4 linked regions of the Rattus norvegicus genome follow. The protein of the gene in region 2 binds, or shares a complex with, the protein of the main gene of each other region. Links are inferred from orthologs where the notes say so. Each region holds a gene or a part of one and is shown on either strand. Other genes may lie near its edges.

Region 1 (3,921 bases), on a different chromosome or scaffold from region 2:
ATCTGCAGATTTTCTTACGGAGTGATTAAAAAGATAAACAGAAAGCAAATATGGGTGCTGGAAAGATGTCTCAGCTGTTACGATCACGTGTGCTGCTCCTCCAGGGGACCCAGGTTTCATTCCAAGCACCCACACGGTGACTCACAACAATCTGTAACTCCAGTCACAAGGATCCAACACCCACTTCACACCTCCAAGGACACCAGACACATGTGTTCACCGACATACACATAAAATTAAGTAATAGCTTTGTTTAAAATCTTTTAAAAGCAACCACAGCATAGTCATACAATCGCACTCAACATGGAGCGTTAAACAGGAATAATGAAGAGACGGATATGATGACTGTCTTTCTATTATGTCAACATTCAGGAGGCTGAAGCAGGACAGTAAGTTCAACAGCAAGTTCTAGACCAGCATAGGCAATAAGGTGACAATCCTTCCAATTAGTTAATTGTTTAAGGGATTAATTGGATGCTTTAAAATAAATTATATACTAAAATGTCTTCATATTTTATTCACAAGTATTTTTTTGTGAGAAAAAGAAACTTGAGGAAAATGTATGAGTTCTACACATGACTGAGTATAGTATGTCTTCTTGGGTTGGTATTTCTGCACAGATCTGTCTCTTAAAAATATTCTAATTTATTTTTATTTACATAGAAAATTTTGTAGAAGTTCTCAACTATTGATACTGAATGGGTTCCACCATTTTATGGATATAGGAAAGTGGAAACTTTCTTCTAGATAATATTATGTATTACAAAAAGCATCTGAAAAATTAAGCCAGTAAATTCTTAGCTTGAAAAACCCCTCGCCTGCTTTGGAAGACTTTCAAAGGTTTGACGTGCGCTTACCTGGAAGGGTTCCAAGAAATGCAGCTGCAGCACAGCTTACACGAGATCTCGTGCTGCAGGGACCACTGGCTGAGGTTCATCACATCTGGGGCCTCGTAGACTCTCACGATGCCATCTGCAGAGCAGGTTGCTAACATCAGACCCATGTGCTTGGGAGCAAATTTCACATCTGTAACAGATGTTCTGCTGTCCACTAGAGTTGTCCTTTTCACCTGGAAAAATATAAAATACAATTTAAACCATACACAAAAAGAAATATGATGGATCTGAAGAACAAATGTTTTAGAATCACACAGACAACTCGCCATTTATTAGGTTTTCATCCTTGCATCAGGAACTTAAAGCCACTCCTGGTCTCTATTTCCAGGGAAGCACTTTGCGTATGCAATCTCATAACAAACTAATGAACAGTTATGAGTTTACGAGAGAAGAAAATCTGCCTTTAGAAAGCATCGTGTATTATGTTAGTAATCTCACTGAGCAGACTCGTCACCACCAGAAATGTTCACACTTTTGTACACATAGCTGTCATACAAAGTGTGCTGCAAGCAGTGAGTCAAACCAAGTGGGCTCCTTTAATAGTAAACGTAAGGCCTGTGCCTTCTGCGGCTTCAGTAAAGGAATGGACTGCACCAGAGACAAGACAAACGCCCGCAGACTAAACACCCTTAGAGCAGAACCAGAAGGCAGGATAAGATGCACGCACACACCCTTTTACAGCTTTGGATTTTATATTGTGTGTGATTATTAAGAAAAGTAAATTGACAGCTCCGAAAAAAAAAGAAAAAAAAAGAGAAAAAGAAATTGAAAGGAAAATAAAACACTTCATACAATAAACTTCAACAAAAGTGGTGGAAAGGACTTATAATCTAGTTTAATTCTCTTCTTTAAGAGTTGAGGAATCTGGGGTTGGGGATTTAGCTCAGTGGTAAGCGCAAGGCCCTGGGTTCGGTCCCCAGCTCCGGAAAAAAAAAAAAGAAAGAGAGAGTTGAGGAATCTAAGCAGCACACAGGTAAAATCACCTGACAAAGGCGGAGGTAGAATTTAAAGTAGGCGAAGGGAAGGGGACCTTGGACTATATAGCTCAGTGATAGTGCACGAAGCCCTGGGTTCAATCCCAGGCATTGCAAAATAACTACAAACCAGAAGCCTAAAACCATATAGTAATTACTATACAAATCATACAAAATACACAGAATCTGGTACAAAGAAATCCTTTGGTTTCCCCACTGGAACAATGAAAGACCTAGCAAGCCAAGCCAAAGTGAAACAAACAGGAGAATATGGAAGAAGGAACAGGAACGCATCTTACCCAGTGACTCTGTCCTCGAAGTTTATCGTTTGACTCTCCTACTATTTCTTCCCATACGGCTGCTGTTCGGTCAAAAGAACAGGAAGCCAAAACTTGTCCAAACTCAGGATGAGCCCATGTCACACGCCATACAGATCCACTATGTGTCTGTTTAAAAAGCAAACTGATTTTACTCACTTCACACATATCATTTTACTTGCAAAAATAATAGAACACGGGGTTGGGGATTTAGCTCAGTGGCAGAGCGCTTGCCTAGGGAGCGCAAGGCCCTGGATTCGGTCCTCAGCTCCGGAAAAAAATAAATAAATAAAAATAATAGAACACAAGTAAGTTTTACTTCAGTAAGACAAGAAAGACAGCAATGTAACATTTAAATAGAAAGTTAATTTCTAAAAACAGAACTTTTGGAAGATATTTAGAATAGTGGACTTGGAGAGGATTATTTATTTATTTATTTATTTATTTATTTATTTATTCTTTTCTTTTCTTATGTATGAGTGCTCTGTCCACATGTACACCTATACGCCAGAAGATGGTATCAGATCCCTTTGTAGGTGGCATGAGTCATTATGTGGTTGCTGGGAACTGAATCCCAGACCTCTGGAAGAGCAGTCAGTGTTCTTAACTGCTGAGCTATCTCATCAGCTCCTAGAGTTAGTATTCTTTTTAAATTATCTTTACCTTAGTTTGAATGTGTGCATGTGCATACACACACATGCACGTGTTTTCTCCATCTCTCTCACTGAACTTGGAGCTCACTGATTGGCTAGACTTGCTGGCCAGCCAGCTCCTGTAGATCCTCTAGGCTTTACCACCCTAGCACTGGGATTACAAGAACAAGCTGCCTCCCACACACATTTTATGTGGTTCCAAACTTGGGTCCTCACAATTGCAGAATTATTTGATTCAAGAGCTAACACAGAAAGCTGGAGAGATGGCTCAGCGGGTGAGAGTAGTGGCTGCTCTCACATAAGATTTGGGTTCAGTTCCCAGCACCCACATGGTGGTTCACAACAATCTGTAGCTCCATTTCCAGGGATCTGATGCCTTCCGTCCCCTGAGGACACTGCAAGCTCTTGATGCTAAGATTTCAGGCATGAGCCCACATCTGGTTTTTGCACAACTGCCAATCAAATCAGAGCTCTGTGCATGGTAGGGCAAGCATTGTACTAACGGAGCGATGACCCCAACAACTCCTCTGTATTTCTAAATAGACAGGAAACTCTTAAATAAAAATAAATCTTAAAAGCAAACAATACACAGAAAAGTAACAACAAAATGGTTAAATTATTTGATGTGAAGTTAAACAAGAAACTATTTTATGGATGAAAGCATTAAGTTCAAACCTAAGAAGCCCTAACCCTTGATCAGTCAGGATCAACCAAGGATCCGGAGTGTGCTGTACTGATGCAGGATGCTAGGCAAGATGGATATGCTAGAAACATTTCAACTTACAACCTAATTTATGTTTATTGGTAAATAACTCCATTTAAGTCAAGGAATACATCTAATTTAAAGCTCATTAAGGAGCACTTCATTGTATAGACATATATTACTACTGTGCGTCCTCATGCTGTCAAGAAAGAAAACAGATTGATGTATTTCACCATGAAAGGAATTTGTTAGATGATGTAACAATCACTCTACCCATTACACTTACAAAACCTCACACTTCAATGTTTCTTTGTTGTTGTTATTTTATCATGTGTTTTCATGTAGCCCAGGGGGCTTAGAATTCCTTATGTATCCAAG
Region 2 (4,550 bases):
CACTACTAGGAGATGTGGGGACAGGCTTTGAAGTCTCAGAGGCTCACCACCTGCCTAGTGGTCCACATTTTTTTCCTGTTGCTAGCTGATCTGAATGTAGAACTCTTCATTCCTTCTCTAGCACCACGTCTGCCTTCATTTCCCACCATGATGGTAATGGACTAAACCTCTGAACAGCAAGTCAATTAGAATTTCTCAACTAAATATTTTTCTTTGTAAGAGTTGTCATGGTCATGGTCTCTTCATGGCAACAGAAACCCTGAGACACATGTGTATACACATGCAAAACATACATACACATGTACTTGCCACCACACACATAAAAACACAAAAACTGAAATAAATAAATCCTTATTGAATAAATAAATAAATAGGTGAATAAAAGTCTGACCCAGAGAAAGTATTTAAGGATGGAGGGATGGCGCAGCCATTAAAGGCTAGATTACAACCAAACATATAAGAAAGTACTCAATAAATATTTGTTGAGGAAATGAAAAAACTTGAGAAGAAATGTCCTAGGTATCAGGAAAGGAAGACATGATATTTATTATGAACCTATGTGTGACACATTATAAGCTATTAAGAGATGAAGTAGCATTATGGGCTCTGGGGCCAGAGACTGTACAAATCCCCGTGGCCACCAGCCACATACAGTAGGCCCTAGACAAGTCTCTCAAGATCAGCCAATGAGGGATCAGCCTCCTCTTTTGGTAGAAAAGAATAATAGCTACTTAGCCTGCAGGGCTCTTTCATCAAGTAGAAAAAGAAAACACAGATACACTGCCTAGCATGAAGCCTGGCACATGGAAGACTCAATACAGAAAAATGATAAAAATATAGCTCAGCTCAGTCAGTGTAGCATGCATGGAGCCTAAGGCACTGCTCAAAACTGTGTGTGGTGGTGCACACCTATGACCTCAGTGCTCAGGAGGAACAGGCAAGAGGACCAAAAGTTCAAGGTCTCCTTAGCTACACGCCAGGCTCAAAGTTAACCTTGGGTACATGGAATCCTGTCTCAAAAGAGTCCTAGTGGGGTTGGGGATTTAGTCCAAGGGGTAGAGCGCTTGCCTAGCAAGCACAAGGCCCTGGGTTCAGTCCCCAGCTCCGGAAAAAAAGAAAAAAAAAAAAAAAAGAGTCCTAGTGCATGCCTCTAACCCCTAGTCTCGGAAGACAGAGGCAGGAGGATCTCTCTGAGTCTGAGGCCTGCCTGGTCTGCATAATGACTTCCAAGAGAGCCAGAGCTACATATGAGACCCTGTCTCAAAAAAGAAAGTGTGGGGTGCGAAGGGATTACTGGCTGGAGAGACGGCCCTCTTCCAGAGCACACAGGCTAGATTTCCAGCATCCACATGGAGGCTAACCACTGTTTGTATCTCTAGATCCAGGAGATTCTGGCCTCAGCAGTCACTAGACATGCAAATGATTTCCATATAAACAGCCAAAACAACCATACACCTAAAATTTTAAATGGATACCTTCAAGACGACCCACAGTGTAAAGTTGCAAGATAATGGCTGTTGACCTAAGCTTAGGTCCCACAGTAGAAGAGTATAGACTCCCCAGTGTTGTCCTCTGATCCCTACGCACCCACACACATCACTCACTATAATGTTTTATTTTAACTTAAAGAAAGGAAAAAATAATTAAACTATTCAGTCAATACAAACTTCTTTTAATTTTTAGTTTTTTTATTTAGTGTGTGTGTGTGTGTGTGTGTGTGTGTGTGTGTGTGAGTGTGTGACCTCCATACAGTATGTGTGGAGGTCAAAGAACAACTTGTGGAAGCTGGCTCTGTCCTTCTGCCACATGGGTCCTGGGGTGGGACTAAAGCTGACAGGCCAATCGGCCAATAACTGAAACGCTTCAAGAGCTCAATGCTAACATTTTAAAAAAGATATCATTTTCATTTTTTTATTGTTCATTTATTTACTGTGCGTACATGTGCCACAGCCTGTGGACGGAGGAAAGAGGATGATGTATGGGAGCTATTCTTCCTGGCTTGCGGGTTCTGGAGATTGAACTCAGGTTGGCAGCCTAGGCAGCAGTGACCTTGCCAGTCACCTTGTGGGCCCCCAATGTTAACAATTTTTGAAGCTTGCCGTGCGACACACGTCTTAATCATGTGACCTCACGCCAGACCTGTAAGTATAATAATCTCCCTTCTACAGGTAAGAAAACTGATGTGTAAAGCGTGACGTCAGGGATGGGCCACAGGGGTGTCCAATCCAAGCAATACATGTATTTTGTCTCCTTTAGCAATCACTTAGTAGGTTGGAACAGATGCTCTGCAAAACAGTATTTCGCAAATTCAACCCACAAATGGTAGGCGAGATTGGTTCAAGTAACTGAGGTTCAGAGAAGTTCTGCAACTTTCCTGAAGTCACCAAGAGCAGTCGACTACCTCAGGGAGTGGACACCTCCCCCAGCTCATTACCTTGTACAAGGGAAGAATCCCTTCAGCATTTACTATCGGTATTTCGGTGTTCCAAGACCATGAGCACTTGTGAAACCCTAAAGGCCATACATGCCTGCCCTAACTGTCCTGATTAGTAATCAAAGCTTCCCTAGGCTATCCTGGCTCTGACAGCTCCGGGTGAGCACCATGTCCATCTCCCCACCTTGAGCAAAGGGATGGATGAAAAGGCGGGGTGGGGGGTCTTGGGGGTGTAAACCACGGAAAGCGCATGCTCAGACGGCTCCATTTACGCACAGCTCACCTGAGAGTCCCGAAACTCCACCACCACGTTCTCGCTGCTCCAGCGCGCTGCCATCTCACAAGCCCGACCGTGGGGTGCCAGTCGGCGACCCTCCACCCCGACCCCAAGACCCGAGACTCCCTAGGTTAGTAAGCCCCACACAGCCAGCTAATAAATCCGGCCACGCCTCGTTCCCTGCCTTTCACTTGACCGCAACGCATTGGCTACTCCGATGATAGATCCCGCCTCTTCTGTTTTCTCCCCCAACCAGGGACCAGACCTGCCTCCAAAAACAGGAACGCCCCTTCATTTCGTCATCAGTACGAGTCACCCGGGCACCCCACTGCTGACACGCCCCCTGCCGTGAGCTCTGCCGGGAATTGTAGTCAAATGTCAGGTCAGCGTCAGTTACCCAGTAAGAGCCTGAGTTTAGAGAGCAGACGCCGCCGGCGGTCCTGTCTTGCTGGTAGTTGGATGGTATCCCCCGTATTCTACTACATACAGCGTATAAACAGGACCGACATCCGTACCAAAGTAAAATAACTTCTTCTGATACCTCTCATCAAGGCTTTGAAAAATTTGAGTTCACAATTCATTGTTTCATGTTGTACAGCCATGCCTCTTACATATCGAAGCTCCGAGGTTCTCCGCAACACTTGGGGAGAGGGGACGGGGGGGGGGGGGGGCAAGTCCCTAAAGGTAAAACAATTTCATAATCATATTAACACGTTACTTTCATTTTCTCTCACCAGTGTGCTGTACAGTTCTCCCGAGGCTGTGTGGTACATAGGGAATGTACTCAGAGAGGTTGTTTAGACTGAATATTAAACGACTTGCCACTCTTTTTGATAACATCGTTTGGTTTTGGAAACTTATTTTTTTCACTGAAGATGTTAATGATACTTACCATTTAACCATATTTTTTTTTATTCATGGCTTTAATTTCTAATACTGTCAATACCTTTATCCACACAAACAGTTTTTGGAGTCTTAGATAATTTTTGAGGATGAAATAAAAAATATCAGGAAGGTTCAGCATAGTAGGTAACAGTTGGCTTCGCTTCAATCCTATCTTTTGAAATCCCGGGTTACCTGGTTTAGCATCACATTCTCTCCTGAAGTAGAAATGTACTGTCTTATTTAGCTGTTGTAAGGCCCGGCACGTTGTAAAGGCTCAAGTATAAACTATTATTGGTATTCCTCTCTGCAAATCGTTGCATGAGCGGAGAGAAGGTATTGGCTCCTTTGCCCCTGAGATGCTTGTTAGAAAGGTCAGACAAACTTGTCTGTAGGATAGGGTGACTGTCATCTCACTGTCACCTGCCTGGAACAGTCCAGGTTTTACCACTATAACCAGCAAAAAAAAAAAAAAAAAAAAAAAAATCTTGCATCCCAGAAAACACCTCGGTACCAAAAAATGGAACAGGACAGCCTGGGCTACACAGAGAAACCATGTCTTGAAAATGAAACAAAACAAACAAAAACTATTGCAGGCTTAGAGGGAGATGGCTTACTGGATAAGAACATTTGCTTTGAAATCACGGGGAGCAGACTCTCAATGTAAAGAGTGAGTGTGTCCCAGTTGGATTCTTTCTGGATTCATTAATTCAATAATTATTTATTATTTCCAAGCTTCAGACGGGTCCCTGGACTGTTTTGTTGAAATCTGCTTGTTACTGCATATACAGGCTGCTCCATGCATGTTTGCCCTGGGTGAATGAGAGCAGCAGATGGTCCCGCAGACCTTTGTAAGTCAGAGGGGTACTCTGTGCAACCGAAAGTAGTAACCTCCAGACGATTCAAGTACTTTTATGTGACTCTGTTTTAAAAGATTTGTTTTGGCTATTTAATTTT
Region 3 (3,921 bases), on a different chromosome or scaffold from region 2:
GAATGCACACAGATGGCTAGCGGTGCTGTAAATAGTGACAGGTGATAGGGAAATGTGGAGGAATGCAGGCTGGAGTTTGCATGGGATGAAGTGAGACTGTGGAAAGGAAATAGTTTTTATTGATGATTATAAACATATAGTTCTGATTCTGTGATACTGTTATATACTACCATAATAGACAAGAACTTGCTGAAAAGAGGACATTTCTCTCATTAGCCACCTATAAACATAGGAAATGTCCTACAGTTTTTTAAGTGATTGTGGGAACTAGGGAGATAGCACTGTCATTAAGGTGCTCACTGTGCAAGTTCAAGGCACCTGAATTGAATCCCCTAGAGCCCGTGAAAAACCTGAGTACAGCATTGTGTACTTGTCCTAGGGCACACATGCCACACAAAACTAAATTGATTGTGGATAGATACTATATTGAAACTTGAAATTGATGTAGACTTCTCAGCACATATTAGAGTTTGGCAAGGGTTTCTGACCTAAAATCATTTCCATCAAGAATAAAATTGTTCTAAATATAGTAATTCTCAGCTATAAAATATGTAGTGAAACAGATTGTATCAGAACAATCACTATGAATTTTTCAGTTAAATAAATACATTGAAAAGCTGACCAATGAAATGAAAGAGGCTGGGAATTTGGAAGGCATCTTGCTGACCGGCCTCACTAAAGATGGAGTGGACCTGATGGAGAGTTATGTGGACAGAACTGGAGATGTCCAAACAGCAAGCTACTGCATGTTACAGGTTAGTGTGGGGTGACACTGGCTTCAAAAAACCCGGCCTCATTCCACATGATCCGTGTTTCCTCACTAAAGGCCATATGCTCCCCCCTACACATGGATTTTGAGTTTGCACTTTGACTGCATCGTTCTGTTGACAGTGTGTTTCATCTTACTGGCCCTAATCACCTCATTAGCTTATCCAGGTTTTTCTTGTAGTCCGAAATACCGGTCTTGGCTGTGTCTGAGTTCATGGAAAGCTCAGGTGGAGGCAGAGAAACTTCTCTCTAAGGGCTCATATCCGAGTCTAACCCAGCTTCCATAAAGGACTCCCTGGCCTGATCTGAACAGTGGTTTTGGTTTCATTTGAATGGAAGAAGAGAAGTTATACTTGAGTTCTTTTACTCCCCAGTGTCCATTTTATTACCAGCAGAGTAATTTGAATAACTAGTTCATCAACATTTTTTTCATTGCTTTACCTGTTCAGTGGTTAAACCAGATTCCAGGAAAAGGTTACTTAATACTTTACTTTTGTGTGAGAACATAAATCCATCCAGTGTGTCACTGCTATGACACATAGTTGGCCTCCAGCTGGTCTTAGCCTTTTTTGTTAGGAGTGCCTCACTCCTTGGTGCCTTAGTCCTTTTGTATGAAAGCCTGCTTTATGTTGATGAACAAACTGAAATGTGTTTACCCCACTCCCTTTCTCTGTGCTTTCCTGTGAACTTACGTAATGCTAGCTCAAAATGCAGTCTGCTTATATAAGGTATCAAGCCACCACTTGTGAGAAAGGGTTTGCCTCCATACAATTTTCTCATTGGGATGAGTTTTTGTCTCTAAAATCAACTGCTGATATATGGCTACAGAGTGCAGATGGGTTGGTAAGAGCACAATTTGTAAAATGTTGTTAAAATGCAGACAGTACGTAAAGTGAGTGACCTTTTAAAAAGTCTAGTATGATAATGGCTTTATTTTAGTTGGGATGCTTTTTTTTTCCTTGTATGTGGCCAAGGTTAACTCCACCATCATGCTGTTTTCATTTTGTTTGTCCTCTTTCCTTTTGTTCCTTTGTTCCCCCACCTTATTTTGTATCAGTTTTTTATTTCATCTTAATTCTTTATTGTCATTTAGCTGTATCCTTTTTACTGGTTTTTGCCAAAGCTGGTGCTTTGTCTCACAGTGTGCATCCTGAACTCCTCAGAATCACATTCCCCTCAGACTGCATTTCAGACCCGGCATGCTGTAATGCCTGTCTTTTTCCTACCACACATCCAGCACTGAATTTTCTCACACTTTGCATTTCACAGGTGTTTTAACAGTGCAATTTCATTGGTGCACCTTTTCTTTGTGCAGAGATCACATATTTTAATCTATATAGAGTCTAAGCCCCAAAGTACATTGTTACTTTTGCTTTAGGCAATGATTTGTCTGTTCTATAAATTAGAAGATTACAGACTTTTTATTTAATTAGTGTTCCTGGTGTCTGTTCTTCCTGTGGATCGGAGCTTAATCTTATTTCATCACCTTGTTTATTCTCTAGCATTTCTTGTAATACAGGTGACTGTCCTGGCTTTTTAACAGAAGCATCTAGTTTATCTTAGTTTTTCCTGCAGCACTTTAAAGAAGTGCTTCATCTTCTTCTGCCTCCTTTGATTCTGTTGAGAAATCAGCTCTCTTCCTTGTTTCCTGTATGTGGTGTTTTACCTTACCATGGATTTCTTTCAAGAAGCCCCCTTTCTCAGAAAAAAATGACACCTTTGTACCCAGTTACAGTTCTTTTGCATCATGTGTACTGGTTGCTGAGCTTCTTGGCTCTCTCAATTAACATTTTTCATCAGGTTTGGGGTGGTTTGTATATTATTTCTGTGTATCGTTCTCTTTTCCATACTTGCTCCTTTTTTCCTTCATTTTATTCTGCATATAGTAAATAAGTTTTACTCAGAGCTTAGGGTTCTGTTCATTTTCTTTCTTCTTTTTATTATTTACTTTCCTCTCTTCAGTTGGACAATTTCTTTTCTTCTCCTTTTGTTTTGCTTTGAGACAGGGTTTCATTGTTAACCCTGGCTGGCCCAGGATTGGCTTTGCAGGCCAGGCTGGGATCACAGACTGTGCCTCTGAGTGCTGAGTGACTTGGAATGCTTCCATGCCAGCTTCAGTTAGACAGTTAATGCTGGTTTGTTTATTTGTTCTCTCTACACTGGCTTTGGCCATTAAACTAGCCAGGGAATTTTTTTCTCCCACGTCCAAAAGTACTTTTAAAATTAGTTATTTAAGTTAACATACAAAGTAATGGACTTCTCTGTGGTAACTGCATAATTTGTTTTAATTTATGCATTGTTCTAAATCATCCCCCTTTGTTGCATTTTTTTCTGATCTGTTCTTTCTAGTATTGAGGCAATTCCTAATTTCAGTTATTTTCCATTTCAAACATAGAATGTCAGCTTTGTTATAGATTACATTTCTCAGGTTAGATTCTTTATTTACTCACTAGTTGAAGGGGTTATTTTCCATGAGTCTGTAATATTTTTCTTTGAGCTTATTTCTTTGAATGTGCTACATCCTGAATTAAAGATTTTGACTGCCGACTCTGACACTAAAACCGTTTTAGAGATATTCTTACTGTCTAGAATTGATGTTCTGATGAGAACTGTAAACTTAAGGAAAACCAATGCTTGCTTCGTACTAGTGCCTATGTGCACTTCACATTTAAAGTACTCAAAAGCAGCATTTCACTACCAGATTTGAAGCCAGGCTCAGTATTGGTTTAAATGTTATTAAGTAGTTTTGATGTACAATTTGGATACATTATAAGCAGAGATTTTGAATCCATAAGTTTTAGTACTTAGAACAAAAGGTTTTCTCATCACGATTAACTACATTATCAATAAAAGTGGGTTAACTACATTATCAATAAAAGTGGATTAACTACATTATCAATAAAAGTGGATCATTTGCTGCTTGCTCCTTAAACTCAAAAGAGATTTTGCTTCCTGGTCAAGTATTTATACAATGTGCATGCTTATATCTCTAGTGAGGCCCAGTTAAAGATGTATTCACCAGGTTTTCATTGATTTATTCAGATCCTCATTAGGATAGAAGTTTGTGAAGTCTATTACTTCTGAGTTATTCAGACTCACATTTTACCCGGAATTCTCTGATTTAAACCAGGACATTTCAAATATTTGAAATAC
Region 4 (4,357 bases), on a different chromosome or scaffold from region 2:
GGCACTGTACTGGCCAAAGACTGAAGGGCCTGAACTGTACAACAGAGCCAGGTTCTCACAGCAAAGATAGGCCACTGTAAACACTGCCAACTCAGAGGTCATGTAGGAAAATGATTAACCCCCCAGAGGTTATGGCCTGCTGGGAGCTAATATAGTCAAAATGCTCACTGAGGGGAATGCCCATGACGAGGCCCGGGAAAAGGGCTGAATGGATACTTACAATCATGTCCTCATGAGAGGTATCCACAGTGTTAATTACTGACACCTAGAACCAAAGACATTCTGTGAATTCAGTGATAGTAGCCACAACAATCATCTCATTAAAGAACCAATTGTTTCTGAAATTCTTACGGGCATCCATTCACTCACTCATTCACTGGCATGCTCATTCTATAAACTCTTTCTTTCTCATGTGACTTGCTCTCATTATGTAGTTCAGTCTGGCGTTGAACTCAGTATCCTTCTGCCTCAGCCTCCCAAATGCCAGGATTACATATGTGCATTTTTACTCCAGACCTTCTTGTACTGAGTACTGTGTGAAGGACTGCACAGTGTGGAGTGGCAGTTCTTGCCTCAGAGGAGCTCATGTGTACAACCTGCCAGTAGCCAGATCAGCCATACTGTGGTTTACGTGGGTAGGAGGAGTCCAAGATAAAAGGGATACACAGCTACCTTAAGGGATGAGAACCTTGGGGTTGGGGATTTAGCTCAGTGGTAGAGCGCTTGCCTAGCAAGCGCAAGGCTCTGGGTTCGATCCCCAGCTCTGGAAAAAAAAAAAAAGGGATGAGAACCTTGTTGCTCAGAAAGAAGATATAATCCAAGCAGGAAGGGATCCCATGGGCAAAGGTAGTCTTAGACCTTGAGGTCAGTGGAATCAAGCAAGAACAGAGTTCACATTCCCTTTCTGCATCACAAGTGATTCTGATGATGGCCCAGACAGTTTATGTGGAACAGGTTATAATTCAAGAACAAGATTTGACTTTAGTTGCTTCTGAGGCTACTCTCTGGCCTACTATGAACTGTGAAAGGCCTGTCTAGCTAGACTCTTACATACACAACAGCCATGGACAGCTATAGTATCACAAGTGATTCTGATGATGGCCCAGACAGTTTATGTGGAACAGGTTATAATTCAAGACCAAGATTTGACTTTAGTTGCTTCTGAGGCTACTCTCTGGCCTACTATGAACTGTGAAAGGCCTGTCTAGCTAGACTCTTACATACACAACAGCCATGGACAGCTATAGTACTTTATGCTACTTCTCTGCTGGAGAAGGTAAGCTCCCTGAAACTATCTGTAGCTTTGACACATTCTGTCTGTCTGTCTTAGTACAGAGGTCTAGCTAGCCTAGAACTCACTACATAGACCAGGCTGCCCTCAAACTCTTGAGATTTATCTGCTTTTATCTTATTGAGTGCTGGGATTAAAGGAAGGCACCATCACATACCTCAGCTTTAGATCTAAGTTATTTAGCAGAATGTTTTACAGACAGAGGGACTCAGTAGCTATCTACTAAATTAATAAATGGGCAAAGATATACATTTCCCCCCCCTTGGCTCAGCCACTATTAAATTCTTGGGGAGAGAAAAGTAGACTGAAAAGGTAGCTTCCACTGGAGATCGACATTTCTCACATTTTCAACAAGTCATCTTTTCCAGTGCAAACTTGGCAGTTACAAAGCCTGACTCCTCAAGGCAGGTGTGGTGTTGCAGGTCCTTAATACTCTGGAAGATCAAGAGAGTGGGTCAAGAATTCTACAATAGCCTGGGCTACTCTTCAGAAAGGTAGACCCAGGAAGTGTATGGCAACAAGGCATTCAGAAGCCACACATTGAATAAGTACGTGCTTCCTTGAAAATTCTAAATGCTCTAAAAAGTGTCTGCAAAGAGGAATAATAGCACCTGCCTGCAGACAATGACATTTTCCCCTGAGCGTCAAGAGGTACCAGCTGCAATCAATTATAGTCAACAGAAAAACCAAGCAAGTTAATGTGCCAGTGAAGAGAAACAAATCCTTACTAAACCCACACTGCTGGCAACAGACCTAGCTACTAACCTTCTAACACCCTGCTCCCCAATGCACACTAATATTAGAAGGTGGGTGATGTGCTCAAGAATCCCCACAGTCTGGACTGGCTCAAGGAAAAGTAATTTTATATTGGTGGCCTGTAGGACCTTGGAAAGTTGGCATCCTTCAGCCACTCTCAACCAGCGGCCATGGGCTATGATCCACACTTTGGGATGCTATGTGTTTTAAAGCCCTTGGAGCAGTCCTCTGGAACATCTGACACTTATTTGCTTACTACAATACAGTAAGAAGCAGCACTCAAAACAATTCAGCTCATCAGGATCACACCTGGTACAAACTTAGAATGAACTTGTGTATGAGTCTCCAACTTGGCAACAGAAGAGCCAAAGGCCAACAGAAGGAGGCAGCTCCTTGCACCGCTGTGCCAAGCAAGGTCTAAGACTTCAGAGTTCCATTCACTTAGTGTCTCGGGGGTGGCGGTGGGGGAGTGAAGATATACCACTGATACCATGTAAGTTCAAAAATAAAAATAAAAAAGCCGAGACGATGCCCTAGAGTCACCCTACTAGGCCTGCCATCAGTTTCCCGAAGGGACCATCACACTTTGGAGTCCTGTGTCCAAGCAACTGATCCCTCCACCACCTTTGCTGAGGTAGTAGGTGGCAGGACCGATGATTAGAAAGATGATTAGAAGAATTTGGATCTTAGCTTGCCACTGTCCAGCGCAAGTGTTGATGAAAGCAGCATCTGTTCTGCAGGCTAAGCGCAGGGAGGGGATGTGTGCGATAGTGGGAACGTACTAAAGGCTAGTTGGGCAGGAGATCCTATAATAGCTCTGGCTGTTTTTCTAATTCTGGAGGACAAGACACGGGATGGGCAGGAGGTAACTCAGCAGCCCGGGCCCCTGAGTTCCGGAAGGCCCAGCGGCCTTGCCTTAAGCTCCCGCTCCGAGACCTAAAGAGGCAGGACACGCAAACCTTGAGGTCGTAGCGGTGGTCTGCTCCAAGACCACGACTATCTCAGGGACCGCATCACTTACCATAGCTACAGCAGCGGCGACTCACAGCCTCGGACGTGGCAGCTCAGAACGCTTCACTTCCGGCGCCGGACCGCAGCCGGCAGGCCGTCTACCAGGAGCTTCCGGTTAGCAACACACTCGACTCACACAAAGGTTCCGCGTCTTCTGGAGCCTTGGCCCCGCCCTCCTGCAGCTCTGCCCTTATCTTGGCCAACAGCAGGGCTATGGTTGGTGTGGTGACCCTAATCCAGGGATTTTATAATTCGAAGCAGTCACTAGCAGGTTTTTTGGTTTCTTTCCTTCTTTCCTTCTTTCCTTCTTTCCTTCCTTCCTTCCTTCCTTCCTTCCTTCCTTCCTTCCTTCCTTCCTTCTTTCTTTCTTTCTTTCTTTCTTTCTTTCTCTCTTTCTTTCTAACTAGCAGGTTTTCTATTTAGACTAAAATTTTCTGGTTCCTGAGATGTATACATGAAATGACGAGCGGTTACAGCTTCACCCTCCTTTTCTGTGGGCTCTGGGTCCTACTGGCTCATCATGACCGTTGTTGAGGTTAATTTCTCAAGTAGACTGGGCTAGTGCTTTGTTAGGTCTTGCTTTCCATTTAATTTAATGTTGGCTATTGGCTTGCTGTATATTGCCTTATTACGTTTAGGTATGGACCTTGTATCCCGGATCCCTTAAAGACTTTTAGCATGAAGGGGGATTGGATATTGTCAAAGGCTTTTTCTTTAATTTTTTTTTTTTTTTTCAGAGCTGGGGACCGAACCCAGGACCTTGTGCTTGTTAGGTAGGCGCTCTACCGCTGAGCTAAATCCCCAACCCCAGGCTTTTTCATTATCTAATCAGATGATCATGTGGGTTTTTTCAGTTTGTTTATATGGTGAATTACGTTGATGGGTAAAGCAATTCCACTAAATTCAGGGACAAAACAAGGCTGCGCACTCTCTCCCTATCTATTCAAAATAGTATTTGACATTCTACCTAGAGCAAAAAGATAAGTAAATGAGATACAAAACAGAGGAATACAAACTGGAAAGGAAGAAGTCAACGTTTCACTATTAGCAGATGATATGATAGTACATGTAAATGCACCAGCTTTCTTAAGGGATGGCAAGACAGAGTCTCTTAATCTCTGGGAGTCTGTTTTAAGGGAGAGCAACTGGAAAACCCTCAACCTCTTGTCCTTAGCTTTTGTGCTTATACAGCTGTTTAAGGGGGATGAAGACCTCCAGGACAGCTCTTCAGATGCATGTGGTCCCATTTCCCTCTTAGAAGCCAAGTGGCCCAGAGTGGAACCTCCCCTCCCCATTAAC

What was found.
Region 1: the proteins of Wdr59 (region 2) and Seh1l are in contact, whole or in part, in a cryo-EM structure (PDB 7UHY), measured with the Homo sapiens proteins. The link is inferred for Rattus norvegicus from reciprocal best matches to the Homo sapiens genes WDR59 and SEH1L. Residues at the interface, in NP_085058.3 of Homo sapiens: Pro713, Asp714, Glu716, Thr717, Pro718, Arg721, Arg837, Glu840, Gln843, His844, Asn847; in NP_112493.2 of Homo sapiens: Asn308, Tyr309, Met310, Asn312, Lys314.
Region 3: the proteins of Wdr59 (region 2) and Mios are in contact, whole or in part, in a cryo-EM structure (PDB 7UHY), measured with the Homo sapiens proteins. The link is inferred for Rattus norvegicus from reciprocal best matches to the Homo sapiens genes WDR59 and MIOS. Residues at the interface, in NP_085058.3 of Homo sapiens: Tyr871, Arg876, Glu877, Arg879, Ala880, Glu881, Leu883, Lys884, Pro889, Pro890, His893, Lys894, Gly895, Ile896, Glu897, Phe898, Gly899, Val900, Tyr901, Arg906, Glu908, Val909, Arg910, Thr912, Phe922, Gln923, Ala925, Ile926, Cys927, His928; in NP_001357005.1 of Homo sapiens: Asp705, Trp710, His711, Arg713, Ala714, Ile718, Ser721, Lys728, Pro729, Leu730, Ala731, Gln732, Val733, Phe734, Val735, Ser736, Cys737, Asn738, Phe739, Ile744, Lys780, Pro781, Leu782, Pro783, Leu787, Cys788, Leu789, Gly793, Pro795, Gln819.
Region 4: the proteins of Wdr59 (region 2) and Sec13 are in contact, whole or in part, in a cryo-EM structure (PDB 7UHY), measured with the Homo sapiens proteins. The link is inferred for Rattus norvegicus from reciprocal best matches to the Homo sapiens genes WDR59 and SEC13. Residues at the interface, in NP_085058.3 of Homo sapiens: Ala525, Tyr526, Gly527, Asp531, Ala532, Asn533, Ile534, Pro535, Phe536, Pro537, Arg538, Thr539, Ser540, Gly541, Ala542, Arg543, Phe544, Cys545, Gly546, Ala547, Tyr549, Val551, Phe553, Thr554, Arg555, Met557, Ala644, Gly645, Lys646, Val647; in NP_899195.1 of Homo sapiens: Val4, Ile5, Asn6, Thr7, Val8, Asp9, Thr10, His12, Asp14, Met15, Ile16, His17, Asp18, Ala19, Gln20, Met21, Asp22, Tyr23, Tyr24, Gly25, Leu28, Val42, Pro59, Trp61, Gln62, His67, Pro68, Tyr79, Ser105, Asn107.

What each region holds. Positions count from the first base shown.
Region 1 is NC_086036.1:63,623,162-63,627,082, reverse strand, and holds part of Seh1l (nucleoporin SEH1), read right to left. Parts: intron 2,317-3,921; coding exon 2,170-2,316; intron 1,070-2,169; coding exon 858-1,069; intron 1-857. UniProt on the Homo sapiens protein: Component of the Nup107-160 subcomplex of the nuclear pore complex (NPC). The Nup107-160 subcomplex is required for the assembly of a functional NPC.
Region 2 is NC_086037.1:56,390,176-56,394,725, forward strand, and holds the start of Wdr59 (GATOR2 complex protein WDR59), read right to left. Parts: upstream 3,021-4,550; 5' UTR 2,772-3,020; coding exon 2,718-2,771; exon of another isoform or gene 2,711-2,717; intron 1-2,710. UniProt on the Homo sapiens protein: As a component of the GATOR2 complex, functions as an activator of the amino acid-sensing branch of the mTORC1 signaling pathway. The GATOR2 complex indirectly activates mTORC1 through the inhibition of the GATOR1 subcomplex.
Region 3 is NC_086022.1:37,247,131-37,251,051, forward strand, and holds part of Mios (GATOR complex protein MIOS), read left to right. Parts: intron 1-596; coding exon 597-755; intron 756-3,921. UniProt on the Homo sapiens protein: As a component of the GATOR2 complex, functions as an activator of the amino acid-sensing branch of the mTORC1 signaling pathway. The GATOR2 complex indirectly activates mTORC1 through the inhibition of the GATOR1 subcomplex.
Region 4 is NC_086022.1:148,443,633-148,447,989, forward strand, and holds the start of Sec13 (protein SEC13 homolog), read right to left. Parts: upstream 3,104-4,357; 5' UTR 3,072-3,103; coding exon 3,069-3,071; intron 266-3,068; coding exon 221-265; intron 1-220. UniProt on the Homo sapiens protein: Functions as a component of the nuclear pore complex (NPC) and the COPII coat. At the endoplasmic reticulum, SEC13 is involved in the biogenesis of COPII-coated vesicles.